Linked DNA regions of Drosophila melanogaster. The protein of the gene in region 3 interacts with the protein of the main gene of each other region in a pairwise test. Each region holds a gene or a part of one and is shown on either strand. Other genes may lie near its edges.

What was found.
Region 1: the proteins of Vti1b (region 3) and CG1161 interact in a two-hybrid assay, tested with the Drosophila melanogaster proteins (one large-scale study listed by BioGRID).
Region 2: the proteins of Vti1b (region 3) and Stam interact in a two-hybrid assay, tested with the Drosophila melanogaster proteins (one large-scale study listed by BioGRID).
Region 4: the proteins of Vti1b (region 3) and PIG-S interact in a two-hybrid assay, tested with the Drosophila melanogaster proteins (one large-scale study listed by BioGRID).

The regions. Positions count from the first base shown.
Region 1 is NT_033777.3:5,353,199-5,357,470, reverse strand, and holds CG1161 (uncharacterized protein), read right to left. Parts: upstream 2,380-4,272; 5' UTR 2,287-2,379; coding exon 2,218-2,286; intron 2,145-2,217; coding exon 1,921-2,144; intron 1,638-1,920; coding exon 1,529-1,637; intron 1,469-1,528; coding exon 1,343-1,468; coding exon of another isoform or gene 1,205-1,342; exon of another isoform or gene 1,047-1,204; coding exon 891-1,046; 3' UTR 723-890; downstream 1-722. Other genes in the region: Prosbeta7 (proteasome beta7 subunit), read left to right, coding at 1-116, 188-340; CG11999 (uncharacterized protein), read left to right, coding at 2,850-2,910, 3,038-3,627.
Region 2 is NT_033779.5:10,856,622-10,862,735, forward strand, and holds Stam (signal transducing adaptor molecule), read left to right. Parts: upstream 1-1,914; 5' UTR 1,915-2,213; coding exon 2,214-2,256; intron 2,257-2,748; coding exon 2,749-3,026; intron 3,027-3,085; coding exon 3,086-4,289; intron 4,290-4,355; coding exon 4,356-4,900; 3' UTR 4,901-5,385; downstream 5,386-6,114. Other genes in the region: aurB (aurora B), read right to left, coding at 252-389, 450-1,167, 1,223-1,356.
Region 3 is NT_033777.3:18,398,042-18,401,059, reverse strand, and holds Vti1b (vesicle transport through interaction with t-SNAREs 1b), read right to left. Parts: upstream 1,352-3,018; 5' UTR 1,269-1,351; coding exon 1,110-1,268; intron 1,050-1,109; coding exon 840-1,049; 3' UTR 721-839; downstream 1-720. Other genes in the region: Wdr37 (WD repeat domain 37), read left to right, coding at 1-233.
Region 4 is NT_033777.3:24,912,677-24,919,886, forward strand, and holds PIG-S (phosphatidylinositol glycan anchor biosynthesis class S), read right to left. Parts: upstream 5,189-7,210; 5' UTR 5,088-5,188; coding exon 5,033-5,087; intron 4,834-5,032; coding exon of another isoform or gene 3,278-4,833; exon of another isoform or gene 3,164-3,277; intron 3,060-3,163; coding exon 2,969-3,059; intron 2,911-2,968; coding exon 2,771-2,910; intron 2,715-2,770; coding exon 2,517-2,714; intron 2,456-2,516; exon of another isoform or gene 2,384-2,455; intron 2,230-2,383; exon of another isoform or gene 2,158-2,229; intron 2,025-2,157; coding exon 1,830-2,024; intron 1,769-1,829; coding exon 1,151-1,768; intron 1,010-1,150; exon of another isoform or gene 906-1,009; coding exon 592-905; 3' UTR 540-591; downstream 1-539. Other genes in the region: sud1 (sudestada1), read right to left, coding at 3,278-4,833, 5,033-5,087; CG11168 (uncharacterized protein), read left to right, coding at 5,976-6,079, 6,141-6,907.

The DNA.
Region 1 (4,272 bases), about 13 Mb from region 3:
GATCCTACGAGGACTACGTGGTGGCCACTGGTTTTGCCCGCCATTTGGCCGTTCCGCTGGTCCGTGAGAAGAAGCCCAAGGACAGGGACTTTACCGCCGTAGAAGCTTCCGAACTGGTAAGGAATTTCGAACTCTGATGGGGGGACTCTTCATTATTTAACTACCCTACCATTTTCTTATATTCTAGATCCGCACATGCATGGAGGTGCTTTACTACCGCGATACTCGTAATATTTCCCAATACACTGTGGGCGTGTGCAGCGTCAACGGATGCGGCGTGGAGGGGCCCTTCCAAGTTAACGAAAACTGGACATTCGCCGAAACCATAAAGGGATACTAGAGCCTCCGATTCTGAATGAACTTAGTTTAGGTCTAGCTCGGCGGTTTTGCATTAAAAAAAAACACTTGTCTAAGGATATGTGGTTACATGATTTATTAAAAATAAATGTGGCTGAAAATAATACGTTTAAAGTTATGGTTATTGTGTGATAGAAACTATCTTCGAGTTATTCTTTCGTTAATCTCTACTGATGGAATCAAAAAGTAGGCGTCAAACTAAGAAGCCCAAGGGAGTTTCCAAATCTAACTTGGACTCACCATTACGGTCTTACGTTCCTTATTTTCCCAAATTATAACCATCAATTATCATTAAAAGTTTTATTTTAGTGGATTTGTTGGTTATTCCTCCCGGCATTCAACTTATTAATTAATATGCAAACACTCCTGACAAACATATTTTGGTTTATTTTAATTAACATAAAATCTGGCTAAATATACAGATAATCAATTTGATCCAAAGGGGAATTTCGCAAAGGATAACTGCTTGGAATACGTGTCTTAAGTCGCCCATGCGCCTCCTAATCTCCGCCAGCTGCAAACCGAACCCCTTGTTAGTTTAGCATGGTATGCCTGTCGTAGATGTGGCGTCTCTGCTCGCGCACCTGCCGCTTCCACTTGTCCTGCTGGTGGCCCACACGATTGAGGACATTGGCTCTGGCACTGAGCTCCTGGTTGTTGACGGCTGGCAGGGGCGGCGTTGGTTCATCCTGGTTAGAAAAGGGTGGAAAAATGTGGAATTAGTCGAGGTGATCCAAGATCTGGCCGTGTTAGTTACTGTCTTAATGAAGTGACGGTGTGGGTTAGAAAGTCAACAAAATCTATAACGCAAAATGAAACAAAGGTGGTTGTGGAAATTAAAATCTATTCAAAAGAGTGGTGCTTCTTTATTGCCAACTAGTTGAGCCGCTTCGGCATCAACATCGTCATCTTCATCATCTTCGCCTTGGGCTGTAACTAGGAGGCTATACTGAATGCCCTTGTATCTAGAAAGCTTGTTATGTACATCTTCGTTGGTGTGCTCCTGGTAGTTCGCCTTCACTCGCTTGTTCAGCAACGGGTCCAGGCACATCAGGAAGAGCATGTATATTACTAAAATGGAGATGATCCAAATCACAATAATGACCACGACCTGGATGGGGGAGAGAGCTGGTTAAGTACGGACGGCTTTTGAGCACTCGAATTGACTCACCTTTATCAGCGTCGTATTTCTCGCCACATGGGAGCACTTGCACTCGGCGCATATGGGCAGCTCCTTGCCATTGGCATCCAAACGGGGCAGCAGGGCACCGGCACAGACGCTGAAATGGTAACGTGTAGCAGGTTGTTAAGAACTCCAACCTAACAGAATCACAAATTAAGCTCATTGATACCAAGATGCCTTATACATTTAGTAGCTGAAAAGTGAATACATTTGTGCAATACATGAACTATGATTCTTTGAAGCCTACGCAAACAACGTAAATTGAATTTAAAGTAGTAGAATCCAGTGGGACGAAAGGGATTGCAGCTTTAAAACTGCTCAAATGGACTAGACTTTAAGTTTCCAGATGCGGCAATTTCTGCCAGTGCAGTGCCACTTACCACTCAGTTGTGCTGCTGGAATTGGAAGAATTTTTGCCTGGAGCAGCGAGCACAGGCTGGCCGATGACCTTGGCCGGAGGGGCGGCAGTGGGAGCTGAAACTTGCTTGGCTAGTGGAGCTGCAGCCGCTGGAGCTGCAGGTGCAGGCACAGGAGCAGGTTGAGCATTGCTGTTGTTGTTGCTGTTGGTGCCGATCGCTGGGAATGTCTGCGCCGCAGTCTCAGCCTTTGTTGATTGTTTGAGGGGGAAATGAAAGCGGATTAGTGGGGCAGTCACGGGATGTGGCCAGTCATCATACCCATGTCACGCCAACCAAATAACATATCACCAGTAGCACCGCGTAGACGAACAGGCGCTTGTGTGCCATTAATTTTTCTTTAATTTCAATTTTCCTCAGTTTTCTTGCCTTTTATTGGAGAAAATTCCCTTGCAATTTCGCAGAGTGACCGTACTTGTCTGGTGCACAGAAAATACCAACAAATTGTCGCTCATCGAACTAGTTCCTTTTGGTGCAATTAGTTTTTAGGCTAATTATTAATAACTAATTATTTCCTTCACGATATAACGTTCATTTAATTCTAAAACAATCAAGAAATAAGTTTCTAGGCGTATCAATAAATCTGTGACGTCAAATTCGTAATCTGCTCTCTGAAAAGACTAATTATATTTTTCCTTTATTCAACATTTATTATATACATTAAGCTATTTTCCGTTAATGGAATAAGTTACAGCAATATGGAGTTTGTTATAGTATTATGTTTATTTTTTTCGGTGAGTCCATAATTTGGATTTTACCGCAGCCTGGTCACACCAGCACCGTCAAAAATAGCAATTGTTTGCGTGTGCAACGCTGATTTCAACCGTAATTGCCGGTACAGATTGACTGACTTAGGTCCACGGACTAGGATACGATAACTAGAACAGGACACGATGCAGCACATACTACTTCTTACAGGACTGGCGCTGGTAGGCAGCATTTCCAGGGGAGCCGGTAAGTGGCGACCTGAAACAAAGTCGCGTCTATGTGGTCTTCTCTGATTGGCCGCCCCTCTTTCTGAACCTTCCGTGGCCATAGTTAATGCTTATCTTATATTCTATCTTGACCCTGCTGAACACAGCCACCGAATCCAACGTGGTCACCTGCGGCTCCATCCTGAAGCTGCTCAACTCGGACTACGCCTTCCGCCTGCACTCCCACGACGTCAAGTACGGATCTGGTTCCGGGCAGCAGTCGGTGACGGGCGTGGAGCAGAAGGAGGACGTGAACAGCCACTGGGTGATCAAGGCGCAGACCGGCGAGCTTTGTGAAAGGGGCGAGCCCATCGCCTGCGGATCCACCGTGCGACTGGAGCACCTGTCCACCAAGAAGAACCTGCACTCGCACCACTTTTCGTCGCCGCTCTCAGGCGAGCAGGAGGTGTCCGCGTACGGAACGGATGGACTCGGCGACACCGGCGACCACTGGGAGGTGGTCTGCTCCAACGAGAACTGGATGCGCAGTGCCCACGTTAGGCTGCGCCACATCGACACCGGCATGTACCTGGGCATGTCCGGCCGCTCCTATGGCAGACCCATCTCCGGCCAAATGGAAATCGTTGGCGTCCACAAGCCGCAGCACGGAACGCGCTGGACCACGGCGGAGGGCCTCTTTATCGTGCCCAAGGAGAAGAGCTCAACGCACGACGAGTACGCCCACTCGGAGCTGTAGTGCTCCCTAAGGACCTCGACTGCTGCAGTTTCATACTACTATTAGTTCTGTAATTTATAACTTAGTTGAATTTTTATTGAAGACCCCAAAAGCAAACCATCAAATTAAAATTATTTAAACTCAGGGTACTTCGAAACTTTCAGATTGCTTTCATCGAAAGTTATGTATTCTATGTATGTATTATGTATTCTATCTAGAAAGTGCCTTGCATAAAGGCAGTCGTAAGAACCACTTAGCTTAAATGCATTGCAACAAATGGGGGCGTCTATAGAGCCCTTTTTAAGGTAGTGAAACCTCAGTTGCAATCTAACTTTTCTAAATTTTTCTAGAACTTTGATTGATTGTCTACTTAGTCAGTTGCAGGCACACAAATGCTTTTTTATTTTTATGTAACCTTTTATATTTTAAACGGGTATTTTGAGGCAATAGTACTCTTTCTGTTGGCATTACTGCAGTTAATACAGATGTATCTATTCCATGTAGTGCTGAAAGACATGCGTAGGTTACCAGGTGCTAATAGCGTGTTCGTGTCACTTTTCTACTACTCATTGATGATTAAGACTGATTGCATTTGGCGGAAAATGTCGATATCTTTGAACTCCAACAGAAGGTATCCCATGCCGGATTGACAGCCCTTTAGCTTGA
Region 2 (6,114 bases), on a different chromosome or scaffold from region 3:
CGGGAAGCGCGAAAATATAGCATGGCCCACGAACTGGAACTAAGTAAGGCATGGGCTTAGAAAAATTAATTTAAAAGGGGTTAAATTAGAAAAAGGTAATTTAAGTAAGTTACTACCAATAGATTTTTATTTTTAAGCAGTTTTCAGATTTCAAAAATATACTCCAAACTTCATTAAATCTTATAAACCGTTTATTAAACATAAAAGTAAAATCTGAAATAAGTCGTTACACAATGCAAACTCGAAACCAGTCAATTTCTGGCCGTGTTCTCCTTGCCGCGCTCCCGTTTCTGCAGCTGCAGCTCCCTTTCGGCCATTCCCGCCTTCACCCAATAATGGGTCATCACATCCACCAAGGTGATGCGGCCCTTGCTTTCCTTGCGAAGCAGCTGCAAAGATGAAATCCCTGTTCAATAAATGGATCTCAAAGGAAACATCTTCCAACTCACCCCGCCAATCAATTCCTTGCAGCCCTTGGACAAATGCGATGGGTAGGAGATCTCCATGCGCCGGATCTTGCTGTAGGTGCTCTCCGTGCTGTTCGACTCGAAGGGCGGACAGCCGACGACGAACTCGTAGCACAGAATGCCCAGGCACCACTGGTCCACCGAGTCGTCGTAGGAGTTCCCATCCACCATCTCCGGCGGCAGATAGTCCAGGGTGCCGCACAGAGTCCTGCGCTTGTTGTTCGGCGTGTGCGCCGACCAACCAAAGTCGGCCAGCTTAAGGTCGTCCGTGCTGGTTAGCAGAATGTTCTCCGGCTTCAGATCCCGATGGATCACGTTGTTCAGGTGACAGTAGTTGAGGGCATTCGCCACTTGGTAGGTGTACTTCGCAGACCGCGGTTCATCGAATCGATGATTGGGTGCGCCACGCAGGTGCTTGAACAGCTCGCCCTCGGACGCAATTTCCAGGGCCAGATAGATGCGGCTCTCGTCGTGGAACCAAGTGAGCAGGCGCAGGATGTGCGGGTGCTTCAGTCGCGACTGGATCTCGATCTCGCGTAGAACCTGACGCTGCACGCAGCCCTTGCGCAGCTCCTCTTTGAACATCACCTTCATGGCCACCAGATAGTGCGAGTGGCGCTCCCGCGCCAAGTAGACACGTCCAAATTTGCCGCGTCCCAAGTGGGCGCCCATCTCAAAGTCCCGGGGACTCCAATCGTATCTGGAGGGAGCAGATTAAGTACGGATTGATACATTAGCTTATTGCTTGTACGTACGGCTGTCCGTATGCGTCGTGGGACATCATCTTGAGGCACATATTCTTGATCGGCTCCTGGTGCTCCTCGGGCACCTTGGCCAGCAGGTGCGGCAGGTGGTTGCGGTTGGCGTGCTTCGCGCGGGAAAGCGTCATGGCGCTGACTTGTTTATAATATTATGATTTTTAAGTAAATTAATTATTTTAAGTTGTATTTTCTATAAGCGTCCCTTTTGTTTGCGCGTTTTTTTCGAATGCTGAGATTAGTGTGACCGCATGCTAGAATCGAGTTATTCTGTGACTCTCAGTGAAGCAGTTAAGTCACTGTATTTTTAAATTCGGTCAACGTATAATAAAATATTTTCATGTTTCTTAAATAAAAATTAATCTTCTAGTTTTGTTCTTATATTGTGCATAGTTATTATAATATACGCTTCTCACCCGTAGGAGAATAGTTTGAGTGAAGGGCATAGAAAACTGTTTAATTATTATAAACCATAGCTACCAGTGCTCAAATCATATCAGATGTTTAATAGATTTATATTATTAGTTGTCTAAATTTATTTAAATATACAATATCAATAATATTTATATGTATATATAAATAAAAATGTTTTGCATAATATAAGTCTCGAATACCTCTAACTAACCATTGAAAATGAGCTGCAAAAAATCCTTTGGATTTCCCGACTATTCGCAATCTGGCCACACTCGCCATTAGTCATTTTTTACACAATAAACGTAAATTAAGCGAATTTGCAAGCGCTATTCGGAAGTTTTTAGGCTAATCGAAAAGATATAAGCAGCCCAAAAGAGATTTGGAAAAAAGCGAAAAGGTCTACGCAGGAGGAAGTACACCAAAAGCGTGCTTTCAGTCGCCGTGACGCACCGAAAATCGATTGGAGAGGAAAAACAATAGGGAAAACAGACAAAGATCAACTGATTTGGATTTATTGACCCCAGGGCAGCGCAGATTATTGGCAGATAGCCGAGCGAGCGGTTTGGTCATAAAGATGGGAATCTTTGGGCAGTCGTCGCCATTCGACGCCGACGTGGGTGAGTTACCACTTATCGTTAAGCTGTTGTGTTGGCCGATTGGACAAGCCGATGTTCCAATTGGACTGCACAACGGTCCAATATGCGTTTCATAGTTTTCTATTCTTATCTGGGGTCTAAAAACCCGCACACCACACCATTTTCCCCTGTTTTCCCTATGAACCCGATCCCCCGATTGAGCAGACAACAAAGAAAGTCATGTGAGATGCTGTGCGCAGCTCTGCGTCGTTCGTTGAACTTCTTATTGGAGTTGTTAGATGGCAGTCGCTGACCTTGAGTGACGTAGCACCCGCAGCCCCTCACACCCCCTCCGTTTACGCAGCCAACCCCCTCGCCATCCCTTAATGCAATTTAGTTAGTTTCCGATTGTATTGATTTTCTTTAGCTGCAATCAGTTTTCGAAGAAGCTTATCTTTGTTTTGCTGTGACTCAGAATATAAATTTCTATTTGACTGATAAGCTAATGCGGTTCATGCCTTTCTTGTTTTATAGAAAAGGCCACCAGCGAAACTAATACCAACGACAACTGGTCTCTGATTTTGGATGTATGCGACAAGGTAACGACCAATCCCCGCCTGGCCAAGGATTGCCTGAAGGCGGTGATGCGCCGCATGGGCCACACCGATCCTCATGTGGTGATGCAGGCGATTACGCTTTTGGACGCCCTGTCCAACAACTGCGGAAAACCGCTCCATTTGGAGGTGGCTTCACGGGATTTCGAGACGGAGTTCCGCCGCCTGTTGGCCAAAGCACAGCCAAAGGTTTCACTGGTGAGTACAAACAGTTTTAACTCACTTATTTCATTTCTAATTCCAATTATGATTCACAGAAAATGCGCCAAGTGCTGAAGAACTGGGCTGAAAACGACTATAAGAACGATCGAGAGCTCGACTTGATACCCGCACTCTATGCCAAGCTGCGCCAAGAGGGATATGATTTCAAGAATCTTGGCGATAAGACTAGCAAGACTGTTGCCGAAAAGGCCGCCGCCCTGCCCAAAGATCCGAATGTGGTCAGCAGCCAGCAGGAAGAGGATGACATCGCCAAGGCCATCGAATTGTCGCTGAAGGAGAACAAGGGCAGTCCAAAGACTGGGAGTGTAGCAAGTACCGGCACCGCCAGTGCCTATCCCTCATTGTATCCATCTTTCGCTGGAACCGGCTCGAGTGCACCGAGCGCCGAAGCCAGTTCCGCACCAGCGCCAGAGCCGAGAAAGGTTCGAGCTCTGTACGATTTCGAAGCTGCCGAGGAAAACGAATTGACCTTCTTTGCCGGCGAGATCATTCATGTGCTGGATGATAGTGATCCAAACTGGTGGAAGGGATACAATCAACGCGGCGAGGGTCTCTTCCCCTCGAACTTTGTCACTGCCGATCTGTCCGTCGATCCCGAGCGGCTGGACATCAATCAGCAGCATAAGTCGGCCGCCGCAGCCGGGCAACGAGAGTTGGATTCCGCTGCGGCACTGCAGCAAAAGACTGAAGCGGCAGCAGCTGCCGCCGCAGCTCAGCCTGTGGAGATCGACGAGTCAAAGATCGACCGGCTGCTGCATTTGCTGCACGAGGCGAATCCCGAAGATCCCTCGCAGGACAGCGACGAAATGCTGCAGCTGGAGCAGGAGGTCCATCAGATGGGACCGCTGATCGATGCCGAGCTGGAACGCGTCGACCGCAAGCACGCTCAACTGACGCAGTTGTCCAGCGACCTCGTCGACGCCATTAATCTGTACCATACCTTGATGCGGGATGACCGTGCTGCGGCTGGACATTTTGCCGCCGCTGCTGGCGGCTTTATGCCTGGACTTGCTGGTTTCCCGGGTGCCGCTCTGTACGGTGCTCCAGGTTATCCTGCAGCGGGTGGATTCCCACCGGCCCAAAATTATCCGGGCATGCACTCGATGCCATATGGCCCCGTACCAAATCCTCCCACTTCTGCTCCATCTCAGGCACCTGGAGCTCCTGGTGGCTATCTGGGTCAACCGCAGGGGCAGGTGCCACTGCCCTATCAGAACGGACATGCCGCACAGATGAACTGTTAGTACAAAGGATTAAAATACTTATTATATTTACCTATAATAACATTTTCAATCGTCTTTCCAGCGCTGCCAGCCCATTTGACTCAACCCACTGGCACTGCACCCATGCCCCAGCCAATCTACACTCAGCCGACTCCCGTGACCACCCAACAGCAGCAGCAGCCACTTCCACAGCACCCTCAACAGCCGCCACAGCAGCAAGGCCAGCAGCCCCCACAGCATCCCCAGAACAGCTACCACATCGACCCCCAGTCACAGTACGCCCAAGTTCCGCCCGCAGTCACACAAATCCAGCAGCCGCAGCAGCCACCGGCTCCGCACGCTTACATGTCGCCGCAGCATCAGCAGGCACCGCCACCACAGGGATACCAGCCAGGACCAAATCTTTATGGACCGAACGGATCGCCGGCCGTCGTCAACCCGCAGAGCTACATGTCCCCACAGCAGCAGCAGCAACAACACCCACCACCACACGATCAGTTTAGTCAGCTGCATCAGCAGATGGCCGCCATGTCCATGGCTGGCGGACCGCCAGTTGGGGCGCCCGGCTATCACATGCAGAACGATGCTGTCAAGAACAACATTCCTATCTACCAGCAGCAGCGGTAAGACCGCTGCACTAAAACAGAGACCTTCACTTGGTTCGCTTTGAATTGCCCGAGCAACTTTAAGCTTTGTCTTCATTCTGACAAAAGGATGTCATCGAGTATGTTAGTTTTGGCCAACTTGCCGAGAAACGGAAGTTGTCAAATCTCTGCTATGTACATTTTGAGAAGAGCAATTGTCAGTGAACCAAATATGTCGACTATCCTTTAAAATAACGAAAGAAGCCAAATTAATATCAAGTATACCCTTACGAGTTTTCGTTTTTTGTGTTTATATTTGGTCCAACGAAATGATATATTTTTCTGGAAGTAAGGCAATACCAGTCGAAAAAGATATATATACCATATAAATAATCTGTATTCAACAGCACGTATAACTTTGTATTTAGTGCAGGGGAGATAACTATTATGTATTATGTTTATTGTACGGATTATGATAAATCTAACGAAACGAATCACATTCATTAAAATCATAAAAATATACTAAGTAAACACAATGTCTTTGAAAATTGCAAGTCAAAAGCTTACGGCTACCCTTCTCAAATATTTTCAGCACTAGCAATCGATGTGGAATAATTTTCAAGAAAATTTTGGAAATCAGATGAAGTTTTTAGAAATTTTTTTAGTGATAAAGAAAGCAGATTATTTGTTTATTTCTCACTTGAATTGTTTGTTTATTTTTATGATATTTATTTAAATTTTCTTATCGATGCTATAAAACATGAAGGTAAAATTCTTTATGTAGGCTTCAGAAAGAGTAATCTGCATTGCTTTATAAACTGAAACAATTCAGCACGAGTTTTGGATTCGCACCCCTTTTAAACTTAACATGCTTAGAGCTCCATTCAACTGCGCTCATCCCCTTTTCGGAGAATACCTCCCTCCGCTCGTGTTAGTGCGCTTTTCCGATGAGATTCCAATATATTCAGACAAGCTTTGCCACATGCCACTGTCTCGCAATCCGGCAAACATGCAACAATTTAGCAAAATTCCATCCGGCATTCGGTGGCACAAATATCCTGTGAAATAAACTGTCAAAACGGGGCAGACAGACAGTATCTCAGCCTGGTAAATAGAAAATGCCAATGAATGCGGAGTGTCACCTGGAGTGAAAGAACGACGAGCCAGGAGACGGGCGAGAGCAGGCTATGCAAATATTTGCTGATTGTTGATTTCTATGGGCTGGCAAGTGGGTGGTTGTGGGTGGTGTTGTCTAGC
Region 3 (3,018 bases):
CGGTCTCCACTGGTGGAATTATCGCCATACCGCATGACAATCGACAGATCCGACTGTTCGATTTGAACGGGCAGAGAGTCGCCCGATTGCCACGGACCAGTCGGCAGGGCCACCGACGGATGGTGTCGTCTGTAGCGTGGGCGGAGGAGCCGCTGCTGGACTGCGATCTCTTCTCCTGCGGCTTCGATCGCCGCGTTTTCGGCTGGTCCATCGTTCTTCCGAAGGACAATTGAAGGCAACTGAAGCGGAGAGCTGCTGCACCAAAGGAATGAGGAGGCGCAGCTCTGCGAAATCCCAAACATCTCTCGAACAAAGAAGCATCCCCAAAGCGATGCCCACATACTTACATATATGTAACCGTTTATCATAGATCAAGTATTATGCAGACATTGTTCAGGATGTTCTACTATCTCGTTGTCGCCCACTGAATGTAATTAACGTTGCTTTTTGCCAAATAGTCGTGGCATAGCGTGCTGCACGAACTACATATTATCATTGTTATAGCATACGTATGTATATGCGTTGGGACTGGGCTAAACTCTTCGGAGTGCAGAGCTTCCGATGTCCAGACCCGATTTTATCTGTGTTTTACTACCATAATACATATTATAGACGTCTAAGGCATTAACGCTTTAGCCAACATGAATAAACATAATCAACCACCCGATTCATCGCTGGGTATATCCTAAAACTGACCTTTTTGAATTGGAAGTGCATTTTAGTGGAGTATATACATTTATAAGCTTATTAACTAGGACAAAGAATTCGTAACGATTAATAGGTATATATAGTCCATCGCCTGTTTGGTGGTTACGACTTTGGAATAGAATGGCATTGGCTCACAGGTGAGCGAACTTCAGCACCAGCAAGCCGACGAGTATGCCCACCTCCAGAATGATAATCAGGATTAGGATGATCTTGTTGTAGAGCACCTCCCTGCTCAACTTCCGAATGATGACCCTCGATTTGGACAGATCCTGATCGGCGTCCTCCAGGCGGCGCGTGGTGCGTAGCAGCGACTCCCTCTGCTCGCCCAGTTCGCCGAGTACCTGTTGATGCGTAAGCGAGCATTAGTTAGCCCTGTTAATGGCTACTATCTGGGTAATTACCTCCGCCCCCATGTTCTCCGTTTCGATGGCAATCTGGTTGGATCGCTGGATACTGTCCGTCGTCCGCTGTAGCACGTCGTAGGTGCTGGCCGCGAGCTGCGCCTGCCTGCGCTCCTGGTCGCTGCCGCTGGGCAGCTGGCTATAGCCGGCGTAGGACATAATTTGGTAACAGCTTTTAATAAATTAAATGCGATGCAGTGGGAATATCAAAACAAAACAAAGGCAGAGTGTGGCCGTGGTGAGCGGTGCAGTGAAAACGCTATTTGGTAAGGTACTAACGCGTTGTGCGTGGAGCCACCTGTTAACACTTTATGCACTTTACAGCACTTAAAACAGTTGAAATTTAAAATGAAACTGTTACCAAATTAGCTTAATATTATTTTATATTCTAAATTCTAATTAAAAGTTTAAATTGTAAGAAGTGTTAGTTCAATTGGTTTTTTTTTGAGATTGGCTTCCTCACTATCAACAAGCACATCTAGTTACTGCAAAAATATCACATATTAATGGTGATTAATTGGGTGATCCTAAGAGTGATTAGGTTTTTGGAAACTGACCATTTTTTTGGTAGACACATGTAGCACTCGAGGATTTTGACTTTAGTACGGGTATTTGTCGATTTCTGATTTGCGATAACGGTCACCGATCATACATAGTTGGCATGCCCGCGCCGAGAGAGCCGCCTGAATTCACAGGGTGTGTGTGCTGAGTAACAGAGAGTGCGAGGCATTTCGAGGCGATCGCGAGATTTTCGAACCGAAGTCGCGGCAGCGAGTGCCAAATTTAAACGCAGTCGATCGCTGGCGGTGAGCAGACGTGTGCTGCGCTCCATTCAGATTCAGATTCGAATAAAGATACTCTCGCTCGGCAACAAACAAGTTCTAAATTTATCGCTCGCACTCGCGGGGAATCGAATCTGGTGTGTCTTTGACATAAAAAGCGTTTTCGGAGCTGTGAAGGTAAGCGAAAAACTCGAAAAAACTCGAAGCAACTGGAAAAACCCGGCGGGTTCGAGGTGTAAAAGCTGTGCCACGGGTTATCCACCCGTATATATCCCATATCCCCTGTAAACTAGCCATCCAAAGCACGTGCTTTGGCAGCAGGGAGTATGTGCAATTAAGCCCAATTTGAATGCACTTTGGCACGTGATGCTGGCTGCTGACAGCTACTGGTCGGAAAAGTGAGCTTACTGGGGGCTGCGGGGCACACCTGTCATGGGACCCATTGTGCAAACACCTGCCAGAAGTCGCAGCTAAAGTCAGAGCGGCAGATACGCGTAGCGCTATCTCTTTCGTAAGCCCCGAGTATCTCTGAGATACTCAGGTACGCACCTACTACGTTCGCAGTGTGTGTGTGTGTTAGTCGAACCCTTGTCATGTGAATATAATACTCTCCAGAGTATCTGTGAGTCGCGCTCTCTTTGCAAAGTCGCGAGTTTTCGAGTTTTATGCAATCATCATAATCATATGGGGGGGTTCTATCATGTGATCTTTTTCTCGGGGTCTCGGTTTCCAGAAGCCTTGCGTCCCCACAAAGATCTCCAGCTGGAACGGAAACCCTAAAAGCTGGGCTCGAGTAGTTGCGAATAGCGCACAATAAATACCAGTCGATTATGATTTATGGATCGCTCTATAAATTGTCCAATGGCACTTCCAATCGATCAATCAGTATTGCGCTGATTAGCCACAGTCGCAGACCCAGTTTATGAATGGGGAAAATCTGATCGATTCTAGAAATCTAGCAATTTCACATCTGAAGTATAGTATTTTGCCGAGTTGCACACAAGTGCTCCTGGTCGATCGTCCAGTTAATTAGCTATATAAAGCCAAAGCCCGGCCACTCGAGTCGCCGATCTCCAGTTACGTAACTCTATATGTATGGCTTATCGGGGAAGTGGTCGGCAAACACT
Region 4 (7,210 bases), 6.5 Mb from region 3:
ATAAGCATTCCTTTAAGCAAGTAATTATAATCGGTAAGTGATATTTTGAAATCAGTCGGAAACAAGACTTATTGGCAATATATGACTCACCCACCGACTGCGTGTCTGGCTGGCCTCCTGCCACGTCTGACATTCATCCGGCAGCGATCTCGCCGCTGAACCTGACCTATACGCGCCGTTCACACGCTGAGCGGACCGTGCTGGTCCGCCAGCAGCCAAGGCATCAAAATACAGCACTCCCAACGTTGAAAACTTTGGGAAAGATTAGTGGCACGTGGACTTGTTTTCAAAGCATTCAACTCTCTATGACAGATCAAAATTTTTGAGTTTTAAATCCATTTCCACCAGGTTTCTTTAAGATCTCATAGACCAAAATGTTGGCACGAATAATTTCTACCTACTTGTTATGCGCGGCAGTCTACAGTTTGAATATGCTGGAATACTATAGAACTGGCAAATCTAATCGACCGCGAGGCCCTGACGATGACATGTTCTACGTAAAACCGAAGTGAACCAATAAATCGCACCAGTAACAGCTTATAAAGAAAATATTGTTTTAATGAGGGATGATACTATTTGGTTATGGTTCGTTTACGACTGCTTCTCCTTCCGTCTGGCCTGCAGCACACCACGCAGCATGTTGAAGGAACTCAGTACAGGCACCATGATGGGCAAGAAGAGTGGAATGTAGATGGCGTACTTCTGCTCGTCCGGGAAGTACAACTGCGCCAGCAGGCTGGCGTCAAAGAATCCGCGCTCCGAGGCCACGAACGCACGCTTGGCCAGCACCGAAGCGTCCGCCAGTCGGTGCTCCAAAAGAGCAGCCTTGGCAGCCAAGATGTCGGCATAGGAATTTGTAATGGCGGCACCCACCTCGTCGTCTATCACAATGTAGCTGATTTGATCTAAACGAGAGGAGGAAGCGATTATTAAATAATATTGTCCAATTAAGGTGGTTATTAAACTTCTCAAGCAGTACAGATTCAATAAAAATAGCGTCAACCATTTTAAAAGCTACTTAATTATAAAGCGGAAATTGCAAATAGTTCATTTTTAATTGTCGAAGAGCCCTGAGTTTTGTATAATATCAGAAATAGGAATAATAAAAATGTTGACTAAACATCCTTCATTGGTATCTTTAAAAACGTACCCAACAGTTTGATGAGGCTCTGGAGCGTGCTGCTTGCTGTGGATATGTGTCGAATGGCACTGCGTCTTAGGTATGCTTCATACTCCCAGCGACGTGGCTCCAGTTGCTCGATATCCACCACCTTAACGCCCTCCATCTGAAGCTCACTGCTGATGTCGAGCAGCTTGTGCAGCTGGTCCAGCATCACCTGCATGTTGTCCGTGGTGCTGACATGGTAGGGAACTGCCTCCTGATCGCTCATGGCCGCAAGGCACACATGCTCTGGCGGATTAGCAATGATGAAGCCACCCCAGGGTGGCGAAATGAAGGCATCCACGTCGTTCCGCGTCAGCCGCTGATCCTTGCTGTTGTAGATGTGAAGCGGAGCGATGTGGCACGGTGGAATGTACACCACCAGGTTGATGGCCGGCTTGTCGGTGGTGCTGGCGCTTAGATTCTGGGCAATCGATGTCAGCAGATGAGGCAGAGCGGTTTCCTGGAGGGCGTAGTGTCGCCCCAATTTGCTCTGGTCGCGCACCTGCTTGAGATCAGCCTCGATGGCCACCCGGTACTTCCACTGCGATCGCACCGTGTAATTGGAAACACCGGACACCTTAGCCAACCAGGGCTCAATGTAAGCTATTGAAAATGTAAATTGGCATAAGTAAGTGAAGACTTTTTGTGGTTTTTCAATACTTACTCTTCACAGCCATTGCTATGTTCCACTTGGCATGGGTGAGTCTCGGTTTCGGATTCAGGACAGAGACAATCACATCGTAGGCTGGTTGCGGAGCTTCCGACTTGGCGCCCATCCGCTCATCGGTACTTAAAATTTGATTTATGCGATACGTCTGCAGGATCTTGGCGTGCAGGAGCTGGGCGATTTTGTTGGAAGCTAGGAGGTGTTAAAACAGCATTATTAGTTTAGCTAACTAATCTTTAATTTACTAGAGTAATTTTAGCTTAGTCCTTGAAATTTTAAGGAAAGGGTTTCATTGGGCATTAAAAGTATTCGAAAGCATTCGTAATCCTCGATAGTATAGTGGTTAGTATCCCCGCCTGTCACGCGGGAGACCGGGGTTCAATTCCCCGTCGGGGAGACCGATAAAATATATATTTCTTTTTAAAACCGCATTATCATGTAAATAATAAATTATGCGCTATACTTCTACTTTTAGAATTATTTCAATAATAGAAGGTGAAGTAACAGACAATAAAAGATTTGAAAAAAAAAAAAAAATGAAAATCTCATTTCTCCCAGACGGGGAATTGAACCCCGGTCTCCCGCGTGACAGGCGGGGATACTAACCACTATACTATCGAGGACCTTAAAAACTTCGGACATAAAAAGCCAACAAGTGTTTCCGTATCATTGCAATAGACTCACGTGTATCACTTCGCATCAGTGCCGATCTTTCGGTGGTTAGTAGCAGCTCCTCCTGCAGTTTGGGCCACTCGATGAACATGAAGTCGCCAACGCTCTGGACATGGTTCTCCAGCAACAGCTTCTCCAGAGCAGCTGGCGTGTGTGCTTCCTGGGTCATTGGCGTAGGAGATAGCTGCTTGAATTCCACAGACCATATTTCTAATGGGAAATGCATGCCGTTTAGAAATATGAATGGATAATGAATTTGCACCTACCATTGTCGCTGAAGGCGTTCTGCAGTTCGGCGATGAGCAACTGGCCACGACTGGTCTGTTGTGTGTAGATGGCCACCTGCACAGCCGTTTTGATCGGAATTTTACTCAGACTCAAAATTTCCGTCGAGGGCAAATTGACTCTGCGATTGCAACATTTAGGTATAATTGGAAAAACGCCGCCAGACATGGTTGACTCACCTGTAGACTGTGGTGGTGCGCCACCACATGGGCACGCCAATTCCAATGATGACCACGATAAATGCTAGTGTAGCCCCGATCCGGAACTTATCTGTAAAGTTAAAGAGAAGTGTTTGATTAGTTCCTGATTTATCGCGGTCGTAAGCGTTCTTTGGGTTCACACTTTATTACTTCGACAAAAAACTATAATATTTTGATTTGTGTTTTATAAAGTTTATTATGTAAATTAGTTTCTGTACAGGAGAACGGTATGAATGTTAATAGTCCTTGACGAGTAATTGTGCGCATGTTGTGAAACAGGATCACATGCTACTCCTTGTAGCTGCACGAAATAACAAAAACAGGTCCCTTTTCAAGGGGCGTGTTGCGCGACACGTATTTGGTGAACTTGGTGGTGCCCTCGCACCGGTATACTATGTTCAGGGCGTTGTCCACCGGCGTGATAGTAAGCAGAACGGAATCGTCCTCTTCCTCGTCATCGTAGTCCGATCGCCTTCCGTCCGTCGGTGCTTTTGCTGTTGGCATTTCGGCGTCGGGTGCGAGGTATGTGATCACCGCTGCTCCTTCTGCCGCGTTCAGGTAGTAAACCAGGTCCAAAGTGTTCTCCTCGCTGGTCAAACCGTCGCCCAGCACTGTGTAGTTGCCGTGGGACCAGCGCTGCAGTTCCACGCTGCATGTTGGACTTTCGGCATCGGTGCCTGCCAAATCCAGATCGGTGAAATCTCGCAGCAAATCAAACATGGCGTGGCTACGGAACAGTTGCAGTAGTTCCAGTATGGTGCCTCTGGCTGTTGTCAAATCCAGCACTTCATAGTTGTGTGCGTTTGCGGGTCCCTGTCTTCGCCACTTCAAGGTATCCGAATCGGCCAACAGCTGCGACCGGGCCAATTCGAATTTCTCTCGCTTGAAGAACTCGTATAAACAAATCTCGGAGTTTTCTTCGATCCGCTTTTGGATGCTCCGGCGGGTGGCCCCCTTTAGATACACGTTGTTTAGAAACAGGCCAAGCGGTGGCCTATTAAGGCCATCAGGTTGCAGGTAATTCAGGCGGGGAAAGGCGCGCAGGGAGTCGGCCACGAAGGCCTCATTGGTATCGCCGTGGAACCATCCGTTTATGGTAAGACGCGGGTAGTCGAATGTAGTAACCTCGCCTACTTGGTGGAAGGAGCGCGAGCCCACCTTGAAGAAGGCAAACTGGTTGTCTTTGGGGGCGATCTTTCGCTGCACTGGAAACTGTGGAAAGCACTGATCGTCGCTACCGAAGATCTCTAGGCATCCGCCCTGCTCATCCGTCCATTCCTCCGCTCCTTCCCAAGGCGATAGATAGTAAATGAAGGCCACTTGTCGGTCCTTAAGCAGATCGTCGTGCACGAGCAGATAGTCGCCGCAGGTGTACATGCTGCAGGAGGCGGACACATAGTCCAGCTTGAGGTTGGTAACCTTCTCCAGCCAGGGACGCACTTGTTTGCGCAGCACCTGCAGGAAGTTGGTCAACAGTCGGCAAGCGGGCATGTTGGAGAGGTCGGCGCTCTGGTAGAACTCATACAAATCCATCTGTTTGCGCGACCACTGCACCTTCTGGATGATCTCGGCGACCAGCGCCTGGCTTTGGCCCTTCTCCAGCATGCCGGGCAGAAGGCAGATTTGAAAGGGATCCGAGAAGACCTGAGCACCGGTTTGCGTCTCCTTGGTCCCTTGGCTCTTCTCCTCCGTCCAGGCTGTTTGGAGCCACTTGGTAAGTTCCGGTTGCTGATACGCCTCGTTCAGGAGCACTTCGTTCGTTTCAAGGATGTCGCCCAGGCGCAAAAGCTTCCTGTGCGGCTCGCCCACCTGATCTGCGGAATCCTCCTGCTCTGCACGACCATCTGCAAGGGCAACATAGTGAATGGGTTTGCATTAAGCGAGGCAAACAGGGGCATACCTTAAACTTTAATTTGGCTATTTTTTACGCACACCAGCACTCACACACGCGTTATCAAAGGCAAAGGCAAAATCAAAGGCACCGATGTGCCGGCACACCTCGCTTTATCGTTTTGGGGCAGATTTCTCACTGTTTCCACTTACCTTCGTCCTTGTCTTTTCTCCTGGGCTTTACTGGACTGGAGCTCGAGGTTTCCATGATGCTGTGAGTCAAATTTTCGGTTAAAAACGTGAATTTTTGCCAGGGAAAATAAAAAAATTGGCTTGTGCAGCTAGAGATGGTAGCTCGGAAATATCGGTTGTTCTGTGCAAGTGTTGGGTAGTTAGCTTATTCCACGCAGTATCAAATACCTAGCTAAAGTTTAGTAGCTAAAAACTTTTGGCATTATATTGTAAACAATAAAGGGCGTATATAAGTAATAATATATAATATAATAATATATTGAAGGCATTCAGCATTAGCATTCAACTCACTAATCACACTTTCATTTTATACTGATCATCACTGATTGTACGTGAGTGTCGTGTGTTTCGTCGTCGCCTCACGCCTCCATCCCTAGCCAATTAGTAACGAACAATTGCTCGATCGGCTCCACGTAAATAAAGTTTAGATCACAGCTTTGTTGATTGCTTATCGCGGTGGCAAATATAGTTATTCGTTTATGGCTGTAAACTTTCGAAACGGACGTGGACATAGCCGGTAAATTAAAACTTGAAGATAAAACCTAGCTGGTGACAAAGAAATTCCAATTGGAGCAGTCCAATGCCGTGGAATGACCTTGGAAGAGGCGGAGCCACCATTCAGCCCTCCATATTATAAACAAAAATACTATTGTGGAATGTTCACAGCTATTTTGTATAAAAAAAATATTTGGCTATCAGTCTGTGCGTGCTAGGGCCAAACAGCTGATTCCGCCTGGCTGCCACCTGATTTGTTGGGGGTGTGAGTGGGGCTGGGGCTGTGGTATTCTGTATGCTCGCGATGATCTCATTGTGTTGGAATCGGAGCAAAAGCTAAACTAAACAACTTGACATGTGTTCTTCTGCTCCTGTGTAGCTACCTAGTGTTGGAGGATACGGAGGAGCAATGGGCAAGGATCAGCATTTGCTGGAGGCTTCGCGAGCCGGCGACATCAAGACGGTGGACAAACTGCTGGAGCACTCGAGCAAACGACATGGCCCGCTGTCCAGGTGAGTCACCAGCAGCAACTGTTGTTATTCCAGGTAGTTTACTACAGGTTTTCCTTTACAGTTTTAGGCGAAGTCCCAGCATCAACTGCCAGGACATGAATGGCTACACTTCGCTGCATCACGCCTGTCTAAATGGGCATAGCAACATTGTACGGCTACTACTCTCCCACAACGCGCTGTTGGATGTGCCTGATATACGTGGCTCGACACCTTTATTTCTGGCTGCCTGGGCTGGGCACCAGGACATCGTCAAGATGCTGTTGATGCACTCGCCTACGGGAGCCAATCCGAATGCCCAGACTATCGAAAACGAGACGCCGCTGCACTCAGGCGCCCAACATGGCCACAATGCCGTGGTGGCCATTTTGCTGTCCTATGGCGCCGATCCTGCCATACGCAACAATAGCTTTCAAACGGCTCTGGATTTGGCAGCGCAATTCGGACGCCTTCAGGTGGTTCAGACCTTGCTCCGTGTTTATCCCGACCTCATATTGCCGTATAAGCGTTTGGAAGATGACAATGAAGAGCTGCTGGGCTGCATGCCCATAAAGCACATATTCACGCACACCTGCCTGCACCTGGCCAGCAGGAATGGGCACAAGAAGGTGGTGGAAACACTGCTGGCGGCCGGCGTCGATGTCAACATACTCACCAACGCTGGAAGCGCTCTCCACGAGGCGGCTCTCTGTGGCAAAAAGTCCGTTGTGGTCACTCTGCTTAAGGCCGGTATCTACGTACACGCCACCGATGGAAACGGACGCACAGCCCTGGACATACTCTCCGATTATCCGCCGCATGTGACCTACGACATTGTGGGCGCCATAAACGGTGCGTACGAGTAAGAAGTAGAAGAAATACAATAAAGGGGCTATGGGTAGTGGCTGGAAATGCTTATCTTTACTGATATCTAAAGTTAATACAGCTCTTCATAAAGCTTTGTAATTCAAAACATTTATTTACTCTATTTGTAATAAATGTTACACCCTATTTATTGAAGGCAACCAAATAAGATCGAAATTATTTTATTGCTAATATAAAGCTGTAAATATATTCTTGAAGTTATGTGAGTAAGCGCAGACAGTAAATAATTGATAACGATTTCAACAGGCTTTATTATTTGAATCTTTAATA